3 linked regions of the Diceros bicornis minor genome follow. The protein of the gene in region 1 interacts with the protein of each later gene in a biochemical or structural test. Links are inferred from orthologs where the notes say so. Each region holds a gene or a part of one and is shown in the gene's direction. Other genes may lie near its edges.

What was found.
Region 2: of the proteins of PELI1 (region 1) and IRAK1, one has a biochemical effect on the other in vitro, tested with the Homo sapiens proteins (5 studies listed by BioGRID and IntAct, with this or other methods). The link is inferred for Diceros bicornis minor from reciprocal best matches to the Homo sapiens genes PELI1 and IRAK1.
Region 3: of the proteins of PELI1 (region 1) and IRAK4, one has a biochemical effect on the other in vitro, tested with the Homo sapiens proteins (4 studies listed by BioGRID and IntAct). The link is inferred for Diceros bicornis minor from reciprocal best matches to the Homo sapiens genes PELI1 and IRAK4.

What each region holds. Positions count from the first base shown.
Region 1 is NC_080751.1:23,497,202-23,504,437, forward strand, and holds the start of PELI1 (E3 ubiquitin-protein ligase pellino homolog 1), read left to right. Parts: upstream 1-4,215; 5' UTR 4,216-4,529; intron 4,530-7,236. UniProt on the Homo sapiens protein: E3 ubiquitin ligase catalyzing the covalent attachment of ubiquitin moieties onto substrate proteins. Involved in the TLR and IL-1 signaling pathways via interaction with the complex containing IRAK kinases and TRAF6.
Region 2 is NC_080781.1:138,094,236-138,101,551, reverse strand, and holds the start of IRAK1 (interleukin-1 receptor-associated kinase 1), read left to right. Parts: upstream 1-4,289; 5' UTR 4,290-4,306; coding exon 4,307-4,442; intron 4,443-4,524; coding exon 4,525-4,692; intron 4,693-4,799; coding exon 4,800-4,931; intron 4,932-5,049; coding exon 5,050-5,153; intron 5,154-5,331; coding exon 5,332-5,520; intron 5,521-5,752; coding exon 5,753-5,817; intron 5,818-6,045; coding exon 6,046-6,160; intron 6,161-6,933; coding exon 6,934-7,052; intron 7,053-7,316.
Region 3 is NC_080756.1:25,385,961-25,393,784, reverse strand, and holds the start of IRAK4 (interleukin-1 receptor-associated kinase 4), read left to right. Parts: upstream 1-4,820; 5' UTR 4,821-4,906; intron 4,907-4,939; exon of another isoform or gene 4,940-5,057; intron 5,058-7,188; 5' UTR 7,189-7,237; intron 7,238-7,824. Other genes in the region: pseudouridylate synthase PUS7L, read right to left, coding at 463-1,391, 4,550-4,557.

The sequences.
Region 1 (7,236 bases):
ACTTCACAAACAATGTAAATTCTGACAAGATAATTCCATTTCCCTCTTCCATCCTTCGAACTATTGTTGTCAAGCATTTTACTTCTACATGTCATGAAACCTATAGTATAGTGCTATAATTTTTGCTATAGTCAATTATCTTTTTTTTAAATTTTTAAATGAGGGGGGAAAGTCTTTTATATTTCCTCACACAGTTACCATTTCTGGCACTCTTCATTCTTTAGTATAAATCCAAGTTTCCATGTGGTATTGTTTTTTTTTTAATGCTGAAGAAGTTGCTTTCACATTTCTTGTAGTGCAGTTCGGCTGGCAACATTCTCTCAGCTTTTTTCTTCAGCCTTCATTTTTAAAGATGTTTTCTCCAAATCTGGGATTCTATGTGACAGAGTTTTATCTCTTTCAGCACTTTAAAAATGCCCTTTCATTGTCTTCTGACTTGCATAGTTTCTGGTTAGAAGTTTACTCAAATTTTTGTCTTTGTTTCTCTATACATAATGTACCTTTTTTCCACTGACTGCTTTTAATATTTTCTTCTTATTACTAATTTTCAACAATTTAATGAGGATGTCTTTTGCAGTGGTTTTTGTGAGAGTGTGTGTTTGGGCTCATTGAGCTTCTTGAGTCTCTGGGTATATAATTTTCATCAAATATGAAAATATTTTCAACTGTATTACATCTTTTTTCTGTAACCCTTCTCACCCTTTTCTCATCTGCAACTCCAGTTATACACATAATAGAATACTTGGTATTTTCCCACAGATTACTAAGGCTCTGTTTTTCTGTTTTGGTTTTGGTTTTGGTTTTTTTTAGGTTTTTTTCCTTCGTGTGCTTTATTTTGGCTACATTCTTCTGCTATGTCTTCCAGTTTACTAATCTTTCCTTCTGAGTGTCTAATCTGCTTCTGAGAGTTAATCCCATACAGTGAAATTTTTCTTTCAGAAGTTGTAATTTTAATCTCTAGAAATTCCAATTTTTATGTCTTTAATTTCTCTCTTTCAGCCTATGGAGCATATTTATAACAACTGTTTTAGTGTTGACTGCTAATTCTATCATCTTTGTCATTTCTGGCTTTATGTTGACTAAATTCTCCTGGGTATAGATTACATTTTCCTACTTCTTTGTATGTTCTAGTTCTCTTGCTAGTTTCCAGGCATTTTCATGATCTTCCTGCCTACTCCTTAAGTGCTGGTGTTCCCCAGTGTGCTATTAATGACTCCTCCTTTTCTGCTGTGCATACTGTCCCTGGGTGATCTCATCCATTCCCATAGTTTCAATTACCGTCTATATGATGGTATGTTCCAATTTTATCTTCTGCTATTCAGATCTCTCTTCAGAGCACTAGATTCATATATATAACTGCCCACTCCACTTCTCCACCCTCCAGACCTATCTCAAACTCAACACATCCAAAGTAAACCCATCAAATTCTCCCTCAAAAGCTGTTCCATCTCCTGTATTCCCTAAGTCAGTGAATGGCATCACTACCTCATAATCATACAAGCCAGAAATCTGAGAGTCATCCTTCTCTTTCCTTGTAGTAGATATTGTGGTTCCCCCCTTCTCAGCCTCCATTCTTCTTTTTTTGGGTAATCACCTCAATTTTCACTGATATATCCACATCGTCTCATCATAGCTTTGGAAGAAGCTAAATCCTTTCAGTCTAGAGGCAGGGCATATGTCTTTATCCTAAGGCAATTAGCCTCATGCCATCCCCTGGCTACCCTTTTTAGTCTATATATAGACACATGAATCAATTCTTGAGGCTTCTGGGAATGAAGTTTTCTCTCCTTTCTAAAAGAGTTTTCAAAAATGAGTCCCTCTTCCTGTCCTTTCTTGGACCTAGATGGCGAAACTTACAGCCACAAGAATTGCTGGCAACTGTCATTTGACCATAAAGCCAATACTAAGGAAGGAAAAGCAATGAATAAGAAAGAAATGTGTCCTTAATGACATCAGCCATTGAATCATTCAGCCCTGTAGCTTGCCTTTTCAAACTGGACATTCTATCTAGACAGGTCAATATTGGTTTATTGGTTAAGCCAGTTAGAGTTGGGTTTTTTGCTGCTTGCGGACAAAAGCATCATAATTGGTAACTTTCCTTCACCCTTCATCCCCAAACACAGGCAATTACTCACTAGGTTCTATTAATTCTATCCATTCAATAGTGTCTGGTTACTCTCAGTTCTGTCTCCTGCCACTGCCAGTGCCTTAGTTCAGTCTCTCATCTTTTCTCTTTTTTTTTAATTTATTTATTTTATTTTTTTCCCCCAAAGCCCCAGTAGATAGTTGTATGTCATAGCTGCACATCCTTCTAGTTGCTGTATATGGGACGCGGCCTCAGCATGGCCGGAGAAGCGGTGCCTCGGTGCGCGCCCGGGATCCGAACCCGAGCGGCCCCGGCAGAGCACGCGCACTTAACTGCTAAGCCACGGGGCCGGCCCTCTCATCTTTTCTTAAATGCATTTCTAAGATGCATATCTTATCAAAATTTCATCTGCTTATATACAGTTCTGGCGTGGCTTTCCAATGCTTCCAGAAAAGAGTCCACATTCCTTAGCATATTGTACAAGATTTTTCATGATATAAGCTGTCTCCTCTTGCCGATGCCCGCAATCCCATTCTGATCAGCAATGCTGAACTCTTTGCTGAACCAAAATACTCTTTAATCTCAAGCCTCCAGCACTTTGCTCTTGCTGTCCTCCACCTCACTCGCAATGCCCTCATCCACTTCTCTCTTCCCCTTCCTCCACCAAAACACACAAACACACTAACTCCTAGTCATCTTTAAGTTCAAATGTTCTTGGAAGCTTTTCCTGACCTTGCCTGAATTTGGGGTAGCTGTGTATCAAAGCACCTGGTGTACTTTCCTATTATAGTATTTATCACACTGAGTCTGTTTATTTACTTGTCTCCTCTGCACAGTAAGCACTTGGAAAACAAGGAATGTTTCTTTTACATTCTTGCATCTCTATTTCTGGTACCTAATAAAGTGCCTGGGACATAGCATACTCAATAAATGTTTTTTGAATGAATAATTATGTGGTCTGCAAACATAAGGATTGCTGATCTTGAAACTCTCTGTTTGAAAACCTCAACTTTTCCTGCTCTAAATGTGTTTCTGATTTCTAAGCATTAATCTTTTTCTTCCAGGGTATGCGGTTCCAGGTAGGTAGAGAAAGAAAACAAAAGAGCTTGGGACAGGTTGCCTTTAGTCCTCTGTAGCTCCAGTAAACATGTCCTGCCTTTCACCACCCTCCTCCACCACCTATTCACAGCTGGGTGCCCAGTATGGGTGTAGACTTAGCTGACCAGCCCAACAGCATACTCAGACCTTGGTTCAGACTTCTCTTATTGCCAAATGAAAGTTTGCCAACATACATACAGTTAACAGTTTTCAACTTTCCACTTATCTTTTGAACTTATACTTCATGAAATTTGTATATCTTAAAAAATTGTAGGCTTTAAAATAAACAAATCTGGATTATTTTACACTTATCAAGTAAAAGACAGCACTCTTAATCCTGAACTTTACCTTTGCTGGCCTTAGAGTTAGATATGACTAATTGAATGAAGAAATTAACTATGGGATTCTAATAGTGGCGATGTTCCTAATAGTTTTATAATCTAATTGTTAAGTTACTGGAAGAAACTACATTTCTACAAGTCTTAGGTAAAAAAAAAACCCTTGAATTTAAGGCAGAGAGGATTCGCTTGAGGGAAGGGTGGGAAATGGACATTTGTGATTCAGGATTTGTGGAAGAAAATTAAGCAGCAGGGAAAACCGAAATATCGGGAGGAAGTCAGATTTCACTGGACACTTGTGAGTGGTGAGGCTAGGAATTGGGGGTGGAGCGAAGTAAGAAGGATTTAGCTAAGGGCGGGATCCCTAACAGCACCATAATACAAGAAGGGCCTTGTTCAGTCGGCGGCAGCACTGAACACGTCCCCTTCCTTAGTGTGTCGGTGACCATAGTAACAGTAGGGGGCCAAACCTCTCCCCGCCCCGAGCATGCGCAACGCAGAGCGAGCGGGAAGCATCCTCAACAATGTATCCTTTTTTCTTCAGTCGGAGAACTACAACTCCCAAGAGACCACTTGGTGCCGCGTCGCCGCCTCCCTCTGTGGCCCTGCCCTGTTCCCTCCCTCAGGCCCCGCCCTCCAGCTAGTCCCCTCCTCTCCCTCCGACTGTGTGTCAGTGACCCAGAGGCGGTGTGAGGCGGAGGGACCGTCGGGGGGCGCCGCCGCCGCCGCCGCCTCCACCAGCAGCACCAGCCGTGCCGCGCGATCAGATTTGCCTCGAGCCCTCCGGGAGCGCACCACAAAGCGGGCCCTGCGCCTCTCCCTCCGCCCCCGGCTCCTCAGCGCTCGGCTCCGCGGCCAACTTCCCCTCGCCGGGCTTGGCCGGCTGGCGAGGCAGGCGGCGGCGGTACGCCGGGCTGTCTGCTCGCGCTCCCCGCGCACGCACGCTTCACCCCCTCGCTCCGCGTCTTGGGGGCCGTGCTGGGATTCCGGCCACCAGCAGTTGTCCGGTGAGTGTGGCCGCGGCGCGGGAGGGATCGCGGCGGGGTGGGCGAGGGGTGCGGGCAGGGCGTGCGCGCAACTTCCTCGGCAGCTTCCCGGGGCGGCCAGCCGGCTCTCCCCGCCCGCCTGCGCGCCCCCGCGCCGGAGGCCGCCGGGAGCGGAGTTTGCGGCGCCTGCATCCCGCGCCCTCGCAGGAGGAAGCGCCTTTGTCAGGAGCCGGCCGGGCGAGCCCTCCCCCTCCGCCGGGGAGCGGGGCTCGCGGCGGCCAAGTCGGAGCCCCTCGCCCGGCCGCCCGCTGCGGGAGGGGAGCTCCGCGGGGGCGGGGAAGAAGAGAGAAATGAAAGGGAAACAAAGGGGACGGTGGGCTTTCCTTTTGTTTGTGCGAATCTGATAACTTCCTTCCTTACATAACGCAGACTTCCAAGTTAGTCATTCTTTTTATTGTTGTGATTATTGTCATCATCTCTGCGCGTCTCTCGCGTTTCCTTTCGTCTCTGGATCTTAGAGCATTTAAAAACATTAATTAATTACGCCTCCGAGGCCCCTACGAAACAAGTTAATAGCCCGTTTCCGTAAGTGGGTAAACTGAGGTCCGGAAGAGCTCTCAAATTGATGGATAGGCTTGATCTGCCACCGCGCCTGGTGTCTGAGCACCTGAAAGCATTTATGAGTAAGAGCTCGTTTTCCAATGCCCCGTGGAAAAGTTAAAGATGCTCATTTTACTTACAGGTTAACTGAAGTCTAAAAGAAGTCGGAGTAATGGTTAGGTAGTTCAAACACTAATTCTTCTTACAGAGTGTTTGAATTTTAAACCTCAAAGACTCTTGAAAAATGCTTTGAGTGGGGAAAATACTGTAAATCATAAATTTACCTCAACATCTACTTTTATTTTTGTACATGCAGGTCCCTTACAAGGCAAGAGAGCAATGATGGGAGGTGGGAGGGCAGAGATTGTTTAATGTAGATTTAACAGATTTTAATCACTATACGCGAGGAAATATGTCTTGGTTTTAATAGCACCAACAACCTTCCCATTGTTGACTCATCAAATAATTGAGTGAGCACTTTATCCATAAGGTGCAGGTTGTGCTAAGGACTGAAGCTTTAAGTGTATGATAAGGTCATCAGTTTGTTTTGGTTCAAAGGCTGTATACTTTTCTTTGCAAAATGTTGTTTTGTTTTCATAGCAGCTGATCTTTTGTTTAAGAACTGGCTTTGTCTTTTTCTACATTGAATATGTATTACTTGTATAATTGAGGCAAAACGTGAGGTTTTTTTTTTAATTTAGTTTGCATAATAGTGTGAATTTAAATTTTTGAATTGTAGAGAACGTTGTTTCTTCAGTTCTTCTGTTTCAGTTTGTGATGTTTTCTTTATAACAAAATGTTTTTTCAGAGTGATCAGTTTTACATCTCTCAAAACATTGTCCTTATATTGTACAAATACATTGTATGAATTCCTGACGTTTTTTATTCACACCAGCAACCTCTTCTGGTGGAAAATACTTAACTCTGAGGACAAGTTTATTTATTTTGGTAGTTGAACCAAACTGGAAGGCACTAAAAATTTAAATCAAGCATTATTTCTACTAGTTATTTCCTGAGGTGAATAATGATCAGAACTGTAGTAACAGTGAGTACTTTCACTTATCCTAAATTCTCTTGAATTTTATATTATATAGTTGCCCCCAGATTTTAGATTCTGGTGGTTCCGTCAGAAAAGGAAAGTGAGACATCTGGTATTTTGATATTTTTCCCCCAATCCTCTAACCTATCCCCTTTCTGTAGTATGTTAAAAGAGATCTTGAGTTTAAAGCAAACATTTGGAAGATAGAACAGTTAAGTGTATGGAAAGTTGCATGTAGTGAAGTGGTTGTAATGCCTCATCTAATAAATTTACAACTTTCAAAGAGAAAACTGTCACCTAGGTTTTTATTAGTGTTAGAGGAGTGCTGTAATGTAATAATAGTAGTATTTACTGACTTGAAAAAAAGTGAGTTGAAAATTGTACCTTAGTGGCAGATTTGAAGGGGAGGGAGCAGAATCTCTGCTCTCCTTAAAATTGTCAGCTTAAGTCACCTTACAGTTGGTTCTGTTGAACTTTTTCTGTAGCATTTAGAAACCAGGTTTACCAGAGGCATTTGTACTTTAAGGAAGCTACTAACAATGCTACTAACAACTTCTGCCTTTGCTTAATCACTGGAGTCCAAAGGCAGAAGTTAGTGTTGACTGGTGAAGGCTGGCATTGCAGGTTTCCTAATTTCTTGGGGAAAAGCAAATGACTGAAAAGTACAGGGCAGGGAGCTGAGTCCAGAGCTGCCGAATGCTTCTGAGGCAAGTTTCAAGGGGAAGCCTAAGTGTGTTTCCATTTGACTTGGTTTCAGCTTCCTTTCAGGTTGTCAAAATGTCACTTATGTATTGAGTTTTTTCATTTCAGAATATGCCTTGTTGTGGGTTGTCCAGTAGGTCAGGTGATAAGTACTACACAGTAGTCCTGGTTCGTGAACAACTATTTTCAGACAGAAGCTTCTGTAGCTGATAAAGATTTTAAGCCAAAAGACTTAGAATTGAAAACTATCTTTCTAAAGTTCTCACATACATACATCTTACCATGGCACATCAATATAGACCTATCCGAGTATTTATTATATCAGAAAGGCTTGTATGGATTATTTTATTACATATATTTTGTGTATATAATACTGTATATTAAAAT
Region 2 (7,316 bases), on another chromosome or scaffold:
TCTGTGTTTGAACTGGTCTGTATTGTAACCATGTTTAAAGTAATTGTTCCAGAGACAAATGCTTCTAGACACCTTTTCTTTACAAACAAAAGAATTCGGAGGGAGGGGATGGTGACCAAGATGAGAGGGGCTGTCCTTTTTCCCCAGGAGGGGAGATCTGAAGATGACCCCTGCCCCAATCAGCCCAAAGCCACCAGAAGAAGTGAAGCCCAAGCCGACGGACCGAATAGCTGATGTGTTACCATTTTCAAAGTCAGAGCAAAACCAGGTTTTGTTCCACCTTGTGGATTCTTTTGCCTTTTTTTCACCCCTGTGATGATTAGCATCATCGCTATTTTTAAGGACTCACAAGGTTGAGGTTCCTGCAAGGGGAGCCAGGGCGGGGTGTGAGCAGAGCCGACCTCGCCTCCGTGGGAGGAGGATGGAGTGGGCCTGAGCCATGTGGCTCAAAGGGTGGGCATCTCCCTGGAGGCCTCCACTGTGGCCACAGGTCACATATATCTTGACAGGGCAGATTGGCCACTCTCCACCTGACACAGCTCTTCCTGGACAGGACAGGCGGTGGGCATTACGGTCTAGGACACCTCCATCACATCCCACCCTGTCTGCAGTGCACAACGCTCATGTGACCTCTTGATCCCACCATCAGGGCAGTAAGATAACGGTGGAGGAGGTGCGCTCTCTTTGCTGTCATCTAATCCCCAGCAAAATTTGGATGTGAGAAAGCCCTTTCCCTTTCCATGCCAAAACCAGATCCTTCTCAGAAAAGCTGTTACCCCCACCAGACATTGTTTTGGGCTCACGCAACAGGGACAAATGTGTGCTCCCTTAGTGCCCAGTGGCACCTCCTCTGAAAGGCGAGGACAGTGCTGACTGTAGTGACCATTTGTACATGGGGTTCAGTAGCAGAAAGACCCAGGCAGGGTGGCTGTCCCCTCCAGAGTCGCAGTGACAACAGGCCGCCCTGTGCAGAGGGAGCCGGCTCCAGCCCGGAAGCCTGGCTGACTGTGGGAGAGGTGTGCACGGGGCGCTGGGAGCCGCCCAGGACAGACTTGGCTGGAGATGTCTCGAAAAGCCCTCTATTGATCGCATTCACCTTCAGTTTTTGTGTTTTGGGACAATTACTTTAGAAAATAAGTAGGTCGTTTTAAAAACAAAAAATATTGATTGCTTTTTTGTAGTGTTCAAAAAAAGGTTCTTTGTGTATAGCCAAATGACTGAAAGCACTGATATATTTAAAAACAAAGGCAATTTATTAAGGAAATTTGTACCATTTCAGTAAACCTGTCTGAATGTACCTGTATACGTTTCAAAACACCCCCCACTGAATCCCTGTAACCTATTTATTATATAAAGAGTTTGCCTTATAAATTTACATAAAAATGTCCGTTTGTGTCTTTTGTTGTAAAATCAAGTGATTTTTTTCATAAGGTTCTTTTACTATTTGAAAAGATGGGCAGCACGCAGTTTTATTTTATTTTTGTAAGTTTTTTAATACGTGTGAAAGCAAAGAATACTCAGCATGCCTTTCTAAGTGATGCGTTTGCACCTTTTGTTGGGAAGTACTGTATCCTGTGCTGTTAGCATTCTTGATAAATCTCTCTGTGAAAGTGACTCAAGGTCTGGGCTTTCATTATCAGACAGCTCATAGGACAGCATGGTGGTGTGTTTCCTGATTCAGTCTGGCTGTCCCTAAACACAAATAGCCAGCCGCTTTCAGGACTGCTGTGCGAGGGAAGGGCAGCCTACTCCATGCACCACCTCCCCTTGGGTGCTCCAAGGCCACACTTTCCGGGCACACTGCTCCTGCGTGTGATGGAAAGTTCTGGGGCAGCAGGCCGGGAAGGGCCAGGCACGAGTCTGCCCGCCATGCCCTAGGTTGAGAGGGCAGGCAGGCTGCAGGCCTTCTGCACAGCAGCACAACCTCCCTGTTCCTGAGGGACATGGCAGGGGTGCCTACTCGGTCTGGATATGTCTGGATATGCCGAGGTGCTTTTGGAAACCACCACCACCACCACCCGCCCCGCCCCCCAGCTCCAGCTCCAGCTCCTCTTGTGCCTATCGCCCAAGACGCTCCTATGGCCTCTGCTGACCTGGCTCCCTGCCCAAAGGGGGCGCTATTGTCATTGTGGGGTTTGCAGGCCTTATCACACCCTGCCCACGCTCCCTGGCTTCCCGCAAGGCTCTGGGCTCTCAGGAGCTGCCTGTCCCGCCACAGCCATCCTCACCAGGCTGTTGCTGGGCTGGAGGGGGTGACAACTGCTCAGAGTCCAGCTTCACATGCAAATGTGGACACACCTACTAGAAGGTGCACTTGAAAGTCCTGGCCTTGAACATTAAAACAAAGGGTTGAAATTCGACCTGTGTGTATTGAGCATCTCTTGTGTGTCAGGCCTGTCCTGGGAGCTGCAGTCCAGCAGTGAGCAAGTAGGACCAAGTCTCTTGTTTTCTTGGAGCTTAGTATGTACATGCATGATAACTTCCCATACCCGGGTTGGTAGTCTCAGTAAGGGCTGTCCCTGCGATAAGCCACTGAGGCTTAGGGCATGGCTGGCCTCCTCTTTGGGAGTGGCCAGCAGTGGCTGTGACTTCTGGGAAGAGGCTCCAATGGAGGCCTGTCTTAGGCAGACCCAGTTTCCAGAAACTCCCCTAAGTCCCAGGGAGAACAGCTTAGGGGGGAACCCTTTGGGGTCAGAATTGAGAGGGCAAGGGGGGGCCATCAGGGAAGGTGACCTGTTGCCCTGCAAGCATGCATCCAGCTGGAGAATCTACTTCTGGGGTCTTCCCCTGTGTAGTGGGGGAGGCAGGCAAGTGCACAGGCTCAAGAAGGATGCATGAGAGATGCCAGAGGGGCCCAGGGAATTTTCACCCTGGCTTACACCTGGGGAGCTGTTTGAGCTCAACCTTGTCACATGAGGGCCAGGAAACTGCACGTGCAAACTCCTGGATGTGGGAGCACTGGCACATCTGTGGAACCCTAATGAGTTCTAGATGGCTTAAGGCTGCTGACGTGTGCAGAGAGCTAGACATGACATGGGTGGGCAGTGGCCAAATTCTGACGGCATGGAGTCTGCACTAAAGAGCTGGGACCCCACCGGAGGCCTTTGGGAACCACAGGAAGGTCTTGAGCAGGAAAGTCATGTAGCTTGATTTGTCCCTGAGGAAGACCACCCAGGCAGACAAGGCAGGGAAGCATCAGGAAGCCAGCAGTTTCATCCAGGTAAGTGGTAGTAGTGAGAGCAGCGGGCCTGTGGGGAAGAGATGGACTCCAGAGATGTTCAGGGAGATGACAGGCAAATAGTGGCTGCTGATGTGGGGCCGGGGAATGGAGGAGTGCCAGAAAATCTGAAGAAATCAATGGCTGCGGAGCACTGTGGGAATGGGCAAGAGAGAAATGGAGGAAGATGTGGAACAGGCTGGGAACTGAGTTTGGTGCCTGGTGACTGCTTCAGAAAAGAGGGAGGAAGAGGCCGGCCTCTGCTGTCCTCACAGGGTCCCGTGCAAACTGAGCCAGAAGTATGACAACAAGAGGGAGGAGGGACAGCAGGAGCTGAAGGCCCGTTTTTAAGAGAGATGAATACGTTTTATGTGCTAGTGGGAAGGAGCCAGCAAAGAAGGAAAAGTGACAGATACTGCAAAGAGCTAACAATTGCTGGAGCAGGTTCCTGAAGGAGAGGAAAAGATGGGATCCAGGGCTCAGGAGGTGGGCAGAAATCCTCTGAGCGGGGGTGGCCTGCTGTACAAGCTTCCAGACCATTCTCCCTGCACCCAGCCTGACAGCCAGCTGACGGGAGTCGGCCGGGGGCCTTTGTGGGACCCACATCTGACCCCGTCCTGCCTGGCTCTCTGACGACTCTCCACTGCCTCCCAAAGAAAGCCAAAACTTCTTAAGGGGACCTCCCAGCGACTCTCACAAGGCCCGGCTCTAGCCCTTTCGGGAACGTCCCGTGCCTTGGCCGTGCCCTTTGTCCTCAGGGCTGGGAACGGCTTTCCTCCATGCCTCAGAGCCCCACTCGGACGGGCCCTCCTCCTGGAAGCCCGCCGCGCCCGCCTCGCCGGGCCCAGCGGCGCTGCCTTCTCGGGGAGGGACAGCGCGCGGCGCCCCCGTGTGGCCGAGGCTCGCGGCGGCCGCGGCCGCGGCGGACAAGATGGCGGCGGGCCCGGGCACCGCCCCTTCCGCCTCGCCGGGCGTCGCACGAGGCCGGCTTAAAGGGGAAGTGAGTCAGTGTCCGCGGACCGGGGCCGAGGCCCGCGCCCGCCGCCGCCCCGAGAGGCCCCAAGAGGCCCTGGCCCGGCGGCGGCGGCCATGGCCGGGGGGCCGGGCCCAGGGGACCCCGCGGTCCCCGGCGGCCAGCACTTCTTGTACGAGGTGCCGCCCTGGGTCATGTGCCGCTTCTACAAAGTGATGGACGCCCTGGAGCCCGCCGACTGGTGCCAGTTCGGTGGGTGGCGGCGGGCCGGCGAGGGCGGGACGGGGGGCGCTCGGGCCCCGGGCCCCCAGGCCTGACGCCCCCCACCCCGCAGCCGCCCTGATCGTGCGCGACCAGACCGAGCTGCGGCTGTGTGAGCGCTCCGAGCAGCGCACGGCCAGCGTCCTGTGGCCCTGGATCAACCGCAACGCCCGCGTGGCCGACCTCGTGCGCATCCTCACGCACCTGCAGTTGCTCCGGGCTCGGGACATCATCACGGCCTGTGAGCACGCAGCACCGGGACCCCCTGGCTGAGGGCCGCCCTGGGCCTCCCATGGGGCTCCTCCCCCCGCCTGGGCCTAACCGTCCTTTCCTTCCTTGGCGTCCCAGGGCACCCTCCCGCCCCCCACCTGCCCCCCAGCACCACCGCCCTGAAGCCCAGCAGCATCGCTGCACCCTCTGAGGCTGAGGCTCCCAGCCCCCGGAAGTTGCAGTCGTCAGCCTCCACCCTCCCCTCCCCAGGTAAGAGGGCCCGGGTGTTGGGCTTGATGGACCTGAGGAAATGGCCACCTTGACCATGGCCACGGCTGAACACTCTGCCACCGGTCTCTGCCTGCCACTCACTGGTGTCTTTATGAAGCTTTTCCAGGCTCCCAGACCCATTCTGGGTCTGAACTTGGCCCTGTCCCAAGCCCTGCTGCCCTCCGGCCACCACCACCATCTCCAGCCCCTTCCTCTACCAAGGTAGGTGGGTCCTGCCCCTGGGAAAGGTTCCAGAGAAGGAGCAAGAAACCTAGCCTTTGGTACATCTAGGATCCCCAACCAGCCCAGCTGAGGCAGCTGGCGAGGGGGTGGGGTTGCTTGTGGCAGGGACCCAGGGGAGGAGACAGGTCCTCACCTGATCTGGAGTCTCTTCCCACAGCCGAGCCCAGACAGCCAGGTGTTCCTCCTGCAGGGGGCCCACCCCTCTCCGTTCTGCTGGCCCCTCCATGAGATTTCCCAGGGCACTCACAACTTCTCAGAAGAGCTGAAGATCGGGGAGGGTGGCTTTGGGTGTGTGTACCGGGCTGTGATGAGGAACACGGTGTACGCTGTGAAGAGGCTGAAGGAGGTGGGTGGAGCATCTCAACAAAGGCCCTGGAGGGCCAGCAACAGACCCACACTTTTCTGGTCCTCCCCCACTGCTTCCCCATGCAGCTCCTTCAGCCCTTTGATTCCCCGGGTCAGGGTCCCCAGTCCCTTGGTTGTTCTGGGCCCAGGACAGATGGCCGTGGGTGTGGCCATCAATCCTTGGCTGTGAGAGTCTCATGCCGCTCCCCTACGGTTTTCCCTGGGGGCTGCAGGAGGCAGACCTGGAGTGGACCACCGTGAAGCAGAGCTTCCTGACCGAAGTAGAGCAGCTGTCACGGTGAGCCTGGGGCATCCTTCCTGGCTGGGGGCAGAGGGAGAGCCACACCAGGGCCCCACTGGCATCCAGGACCACACACCACAGGACCTGGCTCCCTCAGGCCCCCAAAGCCTGCCACACCCAGCCTAGCTGAGGAACCACCAGGGACTACCCACCCCCACAATGGCCAAATGGAAGGTGTGGTGGAGGCTGGGCGCCAGAGGGCTCAGGCCCCACTTTTTCAAGCAGGTTTCGTCACCCAAACATCGTTGACTTTGCTGGCTACTGTGCTCAGAGTGGCTTCTACTGCCTTGTCTATGGCTTCCTGCCCAACGGCTCCCTGGAAGACCGCCTCCACTTCCAGGTAGCCTTACCTGGCGTGGCACGCTTCCCTGGACCCACAGCACTCTTGGCACCTAGGCGAAGCAGGGCACGGGGACTGGGCTTTCAGCCTGTGTGAGTAGGTCCCACCAACAGGCAGGGCCTGGGCTCAGGGTTTGGCCCAAGTGGGTCACTGTTTTCCCTGGAACTCTTTCCCATGGCCTCTCCCTTGCTGTTCCTGCGTGCCCAAGAGGCAGGGCCATGGTGCCTCTAAAAAGGGGGTTATTGACTCAGAGTAGCCTGACTCCAACAACTTCTCCCCTTTGCAAGCAGAGTAGCTGGAGGCTCTTGTCATCATCGCCTTGGAGAAAAGGGGCCAGTGGGCAGCAGCAACTGGGCCCTGTCTATTGAAGCGTGCACAAGACACGGGGCAAGAGCGTCCTTGCCCTCGTGTTTAAGCGCTCAGGATAAGCACACTGTGTTGGGGGAGGTGGGGAGAAAGCCTCCCATGACATCCTGATCGCCCCGGGACCAATGAATGGACTCCAGGAATTCAGGACTGCCAAATTCTGTGATGGCTCCTGAAAGTACATTCCCTCGGCATGCTTTACAAAGCATCAGAATGGCTCAGTCTCGACCCTCTTATGAAGTAGCTCATGGAGATTTTATTCCTCATTTTCCAGAAGGGGAAACTGAGGCCAAGAGAGTGAAGTGGCTTGTCCAGACCCCGTGGTGACAGGTAGAGGGAGGGTTGGGGGTCAAGGAACGGTGGCCCCCCAGCCTCCCCTGTGCCCCTTGCTCCCTCTGCCACTCCAGACCCAGGCCTGCCCCCCTCTCTCCTGGCCTCAGCGACTGGACATCCTTCTGGGCACGGCTCGGGCAATTCAGTTTTTACATCAGGACAGCCCCAGCCTCATCCATGGAGACGTCAAGAGGTGAGGAGGGGCCATAGCCAGGCCCCTGGGGCCCCTGAGAACTGCAGGAGCAGAGTCTACGGCAAGGGGATGATGTTCCCAAACCTTCTGCCGGCAGGGAGCAGAGGCGCCTGTTTGCCAAGGCCTGGTGTCTGGTCCCAAGGAGCCCCGTCCTGAGTGACCCCCATGAGAATAGGCCTACCCTCTCCTGCTCGAGGCTGAGGTGGGGGACATCAGAGTTGGGGGCCCCAGGTCACTGAGTACCTGGCATGGGACAGGTGTAGA
Region 3 (7,824 bases), on another chromosome or scaffold:
TGCCAGAGCCAAAGGAAGGAGCTCTCTGTAAGTTTTCAGGTTCCCTACCTTGGGTAGTGAAGTTCAATTGTTTCAGATTACAAGGTATTCCCTTCACTTTCCCAAGCATAGCAAACATATTTTACTTATCTCCAAATCCTTAATTTTAATTAAGATAACTTTCAAAATATGAAATCAAGATTTACCACCAATAAAACTTACAAAACATGAAATAACTGCTTCAACCTTATACATCTGTGACCATGTTAACTATAAATGTCTGTTAACCATACTTTCATCAACAAGGTTAATTTTTACAATGAGTGTAATTCGAACAGCTCTATCTTCCATTAAAAAACAGACCCATATATTTTTTTCCAATATCCCTGTGGCCAAGTCTATTTAATTCATTTGAAATTATTCAGCTATCACAAAATTTTAACTAAGTTTACCCAACAAAATGGTAATGATTTATTAAATTACCTGTATGTATAACTTTCCTTTCCTGGCATTCAAGAAGAGACCTCTTCCTGTATTTGTGTGCTTTTTCCCGAAACCTTACTGTTATCACTACATTTGGATTAGCAGCATTGTAATTCAGTTCAGGAAAAGATTTGGTTTCCACAAGGTTTCCAAACTTTTTGTTGACAAAATGGTGGACAGCTTTTCTGTGGTCTTTGTTTGTATCAGGTTTAAAGGTAAATTTGGAATTTTCTTTCTTTGCATCCAAATATTTAAAAAAGCCAAATGCTTCTTCTTCGGATACCAAGTGACAGAGTTCTTCATATTCAAGATTTGGTTTTACAACAATTTCACTGTTTTTTCCTACAGTTATTAAGAAAGGAAACTTCTGCCTAATAGCACTATGCAAAATAGCCCTCTGGTTTTTGTCAAGGATTCTGCCTAATGAGAATTCAGGAGACGGTCCAATTAGCTCAGTTTTAGAATTCCACTTCTCTTTTGTATCACAGGCAAACTGATTCAGTAATTCATTAGTTTTTTCATCTAACAAGGAGCTTATTACATCAACTTTTTCTTCTTCATCTTTGGAAGCTCCATCCTTGATAGTATCTTCCTTTTCCGAACTAGACTGATGATTCTGGTCATCATCGGAGCACCCAGCTAAAGTATCAACTTCTTGACTGCTTCCCTCTTCAAAGGATAAATTTTGAAGATCTAGTTTTGATTTTTTCGCAAAATTATTTGACTCAGGTGGCACTTTACTAATCTTGTAAACAGGTTCATCAGTGGCCTTATTAACTAACTGTCCTTGTTCATCAATCTCAATGACAACGAAGTCACTTGGTGAGCTTTTTATAGTGCCACGAAAGCCAACATGATCAGTAATGAAACACAAAGAACTAAACCTGATTCTAAAATCTATATCCTCTTCCATTCTTAAATAACAACGCCTACAAAAGAAACAGAGAGGCGGTCAGTTACCAGACAGAAAAGTTGTGGATAACAAAAAAGAAACAAATTTGCAGGATTTATCTAATTCTCTTCCTCCCCATCAATTCTGAGACCCCTTAAAAGACATTAATAATTTAATATATCATGTGTATTTTGACTATCCTGTACCAAGATGAATTAACAGGCAAATTTTTTTCTGGTATAACTGGTGATTTGCAACTTGACTCTACCCGCTCAAGGCTCCCATCTATTATGCAGGATTAAAATGTTTCAAGTTTACATTAAAAATACCATTTGTAGGCCCACAAAGAAGAGACTAGAACACAGGACTGTTTACAAGGATTTGTCTAAACACCACTTCTGAAACTTAAAATTCGCAGCTAATTCCAGAGAATTTGTGGCTAGATTTTTATATATTAGGGGTTAGGGATGGGAGAAGGGATGAGGAGAAGACAGGAAGAAATAGTCCAAACTGATATATAAACGAAGTTGTAAATACCAACTGGTAATACAAATATGCTTCAAGGTGGGCTTAAGTTAATCCTGGACCTTCAGCCTCCTTGAAAGCCCAGTTACAAACTTTCACAGATACAATCTTTTGAGGTTGACCCAAAGGAAAATTCCAATCATATCACTGGCATCAGAGAGAAGAAACCCTTACAGATCTTGGCGAAGCAGTAGACAAGAGAATAATCCTCTGAGGAAGCTTTCACTCATTCTTTGCATAACCCATGGCTACCACACCAGACGAAGCTACAGGAAAGATAAAATGACCAGGGGCCCCATACTACTCAGTTCTTTGTGTTAACCACACTCTGCAGGTTATTATCATCTGGACCTTCATCCCATTTCTACAGTGTATTCTACCAATCTGAACCAATTTAGCAAACCCACCTCTATCCTTTCTATTATACCATGTAGAAATCACAGCAAATTTTCCATATCCTACTGTCCTAAAGAATATATAAGGATATATTGTTTTCCTTCATTCCTTAATTTCCCTTACAGTCTCCTCAGTTTCTTGCCCTAATTGAAATCTGGCTATTTCCCCAGGCTGCCTCTTCTGCAGTCCTCTCAAGCAAAGGCTATTTTTCCTTTCACACTCACCAAACTTAGGACCTGGAGGTTGCAAATATTTTCTATATCTGCCACTGCTTCTTCCAAACCATTTCTTCCTTCTCTACCTCCCAAAATCTCAGTTCCTTTGAAGTTCATGCCATCAGGCCCTACCATCTGCTGTCATTCCTTCTCTGGTCCCTGGATGACTCTTCTTCATTCACTGATGATTTTAACACCTGGTTCACTGCTTTCCTATTCAGCATGACTTCCATGACCATCCATATGGATCATCCATTTAACACTGTGCTCCCTCAGTTCCTCAATCTCAACCTCAACCCGCTTCCACTTCACCTTGGTCATAGTTTGATTTTCTCATCACTAAAAACTACATCAACTTGAAGCATCAGTCTGGCTCTCAGATTACTCCTGCTGTGCTTTCATCACTCTACTTTAGTACTTCCAGAATTTCTGAAATATTGTGAAGGCCTCTAACCTCTGCTTCTAGCACTAGTCCACTATAGTCCATTCTCCACTTAGCAGCCAGAATGATGATTTAAAAGGTAAACTAAATCATATCATAACTGTGTTTAAAACTCTCTAATTACGTTTATAATAAAATCCAAATTACTTACCTTGGCTTCCAAAGACTTCTAAGATTCTGGACTTTGTTCCCCAAATTTATCTTGTACTCGTTCCCATTACCCACTACACTCCAGCTACACTGGTCTTCTTCAGTTCCTTTGTGTTAACTGTTCCTGATGATTAAATCGGTCCTTCCCCAATCACATCCTCAGAGAGGTCTTCCCTGACCAATAATCTAAAGGAACCAGCAAGTCACTCTCTTTCACAAAACCCTATTTAATTTTCTGCATAGTATTTCTATCTAATAATTTTCCTCATTATTTATTGTATATCTCTCCCAGCTACAACGTTAGCTCCACAACAGCAAGAATCTTGTCTGCCTTATTCACTGATTATCTCACATTTAGAACAGTGTCAAGCACATAGCAGGCTCACAATCAATAGTGATTGTTGAATAAATGACACAACTAGTACAACATAAGAGCTGTAATGGTGAAGAGGAAGAAGGGATCACTTTTGCCTATGATAATCAGGAAAAGCGTAATGCAAGAAGAGGCCATCTAAGTCCAGAAAACGGTTCAAGAAATAGAAATGAGGTAGAGTCATATCATAAGTAACGTACAAACCAAATATGCAATGTGTTAGAGAAAACTGAACAGCCCAGATGCACAGCAGTAGGAGAAAAAGTTTTCTAGTACAGTTCTGGAAAATACAGCTGGATTAGTGCCAAACTATGTAAGACACTGAATGCCCAGTCAAAGACAGAATTCGTTGAGTGGTCAATGGATGGCCACTGGAGGTGTTCCAGTAGGAAGATGACACAATCCAAAAAGATGTTTTAGTAAGATGACTTGATGGCACTGAGCAGGATGAACGTCATGAAGAGTCAGAGGAGCTGCAAAGCAATGTGATCAAAAGCATAGTTGTAAGATTGGCCTTGGAAAGAATAATGAGCTACTCTTTCCCCAAAAAGGAGGCGATATAAAGACATTCTAAGCTGGTGGAATACGTAGAACAACTTGGGGAGGAAGCAACGACGAGGGAATTACAACCAAACATCTTAGTGCGAGTGGGACCGAGCTGGAGGGCCGCCAAGGGACCCACGTGGAGTTAAGCATGAAAGTGCCGTGTTCCTAAGCAACAGATTCGTTGATGAGGGGATAGGACGGAGAGCGGGAGCGTAGTTTGGCTGACCCAAGGACAGCCAATTGTTGGTTGAGGACAAATTCTGGGAAGATGTTAGAAATGGAGGAAGGGGGCGCCTTTGCCCTCATGCTCTTCCTTCACCAATGCTCCGCCGAACTCACTCCTACTACTCCCTATTTCTGCCATCAGTCCGCGGAACCCGTCTCCCGCGGCGCTGCCTTCTGGCGCGTCCACAAGCACCCCCAGACACCGACCGCCAGCAGCGCCACTTGCTTCTTCTCCCGGCCCCACGCCCCGCCTGTCCCAAGGCGCGATACTAGCCCACGTCGCCCTCCTTCTGGGGGCATAGGGTCGGGGTCCCAATGCCAACCTTGTCATCAAACCCCACAGCGCGCAAGAAGCTCAACTCGGTCTACCTCACGTCCAGGTGAAGACATTCCTCTGCACAACGCTGTGCGCATGCCCGGAAGCCTTAAACTAGTTGGCCTCCGACCGAGGCGTATTTAAAGGGGCAGGCTCCCACTTAAAGAAACGCCTCACGCGAGACCTGGTATTTTTCACATTGTGGAGCCGCCTGGAGGCGCAAAGAGGAAGAGGAAGGCGGGGCGGGGGCGGGGCCTGAGGGCTGGCCACGCCCCTGTCCGGCCCTTCCCCGTGCGCTGGTGCCTCAGCGGCTGGCTTCTCCCGGCGGCGCCCCGCCCGCCCCCCGTGCCTCGCCCCTGGACAGGTGAGGGATTCCGGCCGTGCGCGCCGCCTTCACCGCGGGTGGTCCGAGGTCCGCGCCCCGGCCTCCGTCCCTCTGCCCCAGGGTTATTGAGGGACCGTCCCGGAAGGAAAATCGCCTTCTTATCTTCAAAGGGAGAGAAGTTCGAGAGGAAGTAGGTGGCGTGGGCAGAGCTTGCCCCGGGATAAAGACTTGGGTGGGTGCCTGGGGATCAGAAAGTGAGTGGGACCTGCGGAGGAAGCTGGGGCATGGGGAGGCGTCCCCCAGCCGTCGGTCCAGCCAGCCCCATCGGACCTCGCCTCAAGTTTCTCAACTCCCAGGCGGTGTGTTCCGAGAACCCGTTTACGAAATGAAATCTCTTTTCCTGAGAACCAGGAAGTGAGGCCAGCAGCCGGCAGAGATGCGGCGTGGAAAGCATTCTGATCCTCCACGAGACTCTAATTAGCTTGTTCTCCGGCTTCCAAGCTTCGAGGAAATTAGAAAGTGGAGAGGGGGTGTAAGGATTAGATAAATGCATTATCAGAGGGGAAAGTCTATCTGACAGCCTGGAAGCAAGAGAAGAAACAAAGGGATGAAAAGCAGACCTTGAGAAAGGGAGAAAGCATTTTAGCCATTTAGAATGGGAACAAATAGTTCTGTTAGTGCCTCAAAAACGTATGTGCCCAAGGAGCCCTGAGAGCAGAGAGTATTGAAATCTGCCTTTTCTCTTTCTGGGGATAATCCTTGAAGAGATCTGTCAGAAAGTTCCTATTTCTTTTATTCTCCTGTTTGCATGCTAAGCATTCTTTTGAAGTTTGGTTCTACCTGTCCAAACCGAGCTCCTGATCTTCCAGGCCAAACTTACTCCTTCCATAGTCTTCTCCATCTCAGTAAATGTCAGGAAACTTGTTCAGACCAAAAACTTTAGTGCCATCTCCTCACTCTTCACATCAGCACATAGGATTCTATTTGCTCTACCTCAGAAAATATCCAGCATCCTAGGACTTGGCGCCTTCTCTGGTCCAAGCCGCCAGCACCTCCTGCCTGGATTATTGGTGTGCTCTGCTAGTTGGTCGCTCTTCCTGCTTCTCTGCCCTTCCTCCAATATCCACTATTCTCTGCAGCAGCCCCAGTGTCTTTTTAAGACATAAGTATAGAGCATGTGTCTCCTCTTCTCGAAACCTCCACTGTCTTCTCATCTCATCTCATCTCACCTCATCTCATCTCATCTCACTCTTCAACATCTCACTCATAAACAAAGTCAATACAAAGGTTATAAAGACTTAGTATACCTGGCCCCATTACCTCTCATCTTATCTGCTACTTTTCTGCTCCCTCCTCTCCAGTCTTACTGTCTCTTTGCTGTTTCTCAATGGGCCCACTTCAGACCCTTGCATTTACTGTTTCTTTTGCCCAGAAACTTTTCCCACAGATATCCCAGTGGCTGGCTTTCTCATCCCTCAAACTTTTAATCAAATGACACCTTCTTATTGAGTCCTACTCTGACTACCCTATTTAAAACTGAAACCCCCTTTTCTGTTTATTTTTTTTCCATTCCAGGTGGCACCATCTAACATACTATGGAATTTATTTGTTTATTGCCTCTCTTTCTCTATTAGAATATAAGCTCTATGAGTTCAGTTATTTTTTTTCTTATTTTCCTAACGCTTTATCTCCAGGGATCAATATTTGGCACAAAGCAGAAACCCAGTAAATATTTGATGAATGAATAATATTCTTTAATATATCCAAAGCATTTTAAATTACTTGCCATTGAGTTAAATCAATGTCTAAGAGTGATGTGTTTTGTTTAATTTATGGCATACCAGCTCGTATCCCCATTTGAGAGGGGCAGCCCTATATAATTTAATAGATCTGGAAGATATCACCAGCTTTTCTTCATAGTGATGATGTTGAGTTGTCCAAAAATAAAGATTAATGGTTTTCCAGCATATTTTGCTTAAGAAAGCATCAGAGTGAATAAGGTATTTTAGGGAGGTTGTAGACGTATTGAACATATTATGCTCTATAAAGTAAGACTCCCAATATCTGAAACGCTTAGCTATAGTCTCAGACCTCTTATTTCCACTTTCTCAGTAGCCCCTCACCACTATTCTGAAAATTGAGCTTAAATACAACTCTGCACGTTTCTGTTTTTAAAATGTGACTTAAGAATAACTTCTGCCATAGAATAATCATCGCTACATTTTATTTTGATCACCTATTGTGGACAGGATTAGGCCCTTCCAGTTTGTTGATTTTAAATCTTACAGCACCTCTTAGCTGTTACCATCTCTCTTTTTCAGATGAAGAAACCAAGGTCCGGAGATACTGAATCATTGACCGTGGTCACAGGTAGTTTGTGAAAGAGATGTATTAGCATGCAGTCCCGTGCAACCTCAAAGTCCATCTCCCCTGCACCCCTGTACACTCTCTTCCTCTGATCAGAGTGATAATGAAGCACAATCTTAAAAATGTGTTAATTTACTTGAATAGAATTTTTTGAATTCCTATTTTGGGCACAGTACTTTGAGAACATGCATATGAGTGGGAAGGTGCTGGGTTCTACAAGCAGACACTGGTTTAAGTATATTTCTCAATTATTACCTTACCTTATATTCTTCTCTGAGTTGTCTTTGAAAATATCAGTGGTTTTGTCTACTATGAGAATTAATGGTATGAGAAAACAGTCATGGAGATTTTTATTTGTTTATTTGTAAGCAATAGATCCTGTTCCACTTCTATTAATCCTAAGTGCACTAAAGTAAAATTTTGAACACTTTGAAAGAGGTGACACTTTTTATGTTTTTTCTACACAAATAATTTATTTTCATTATTGAAAATGCAAAAAAGCAAATGAAAACAAAACCACCATAAAAATCACTATCAAGAGATAACCACGGTTAATATTTTGGTGTATGTTCTTCCAAATATGTGTTGGT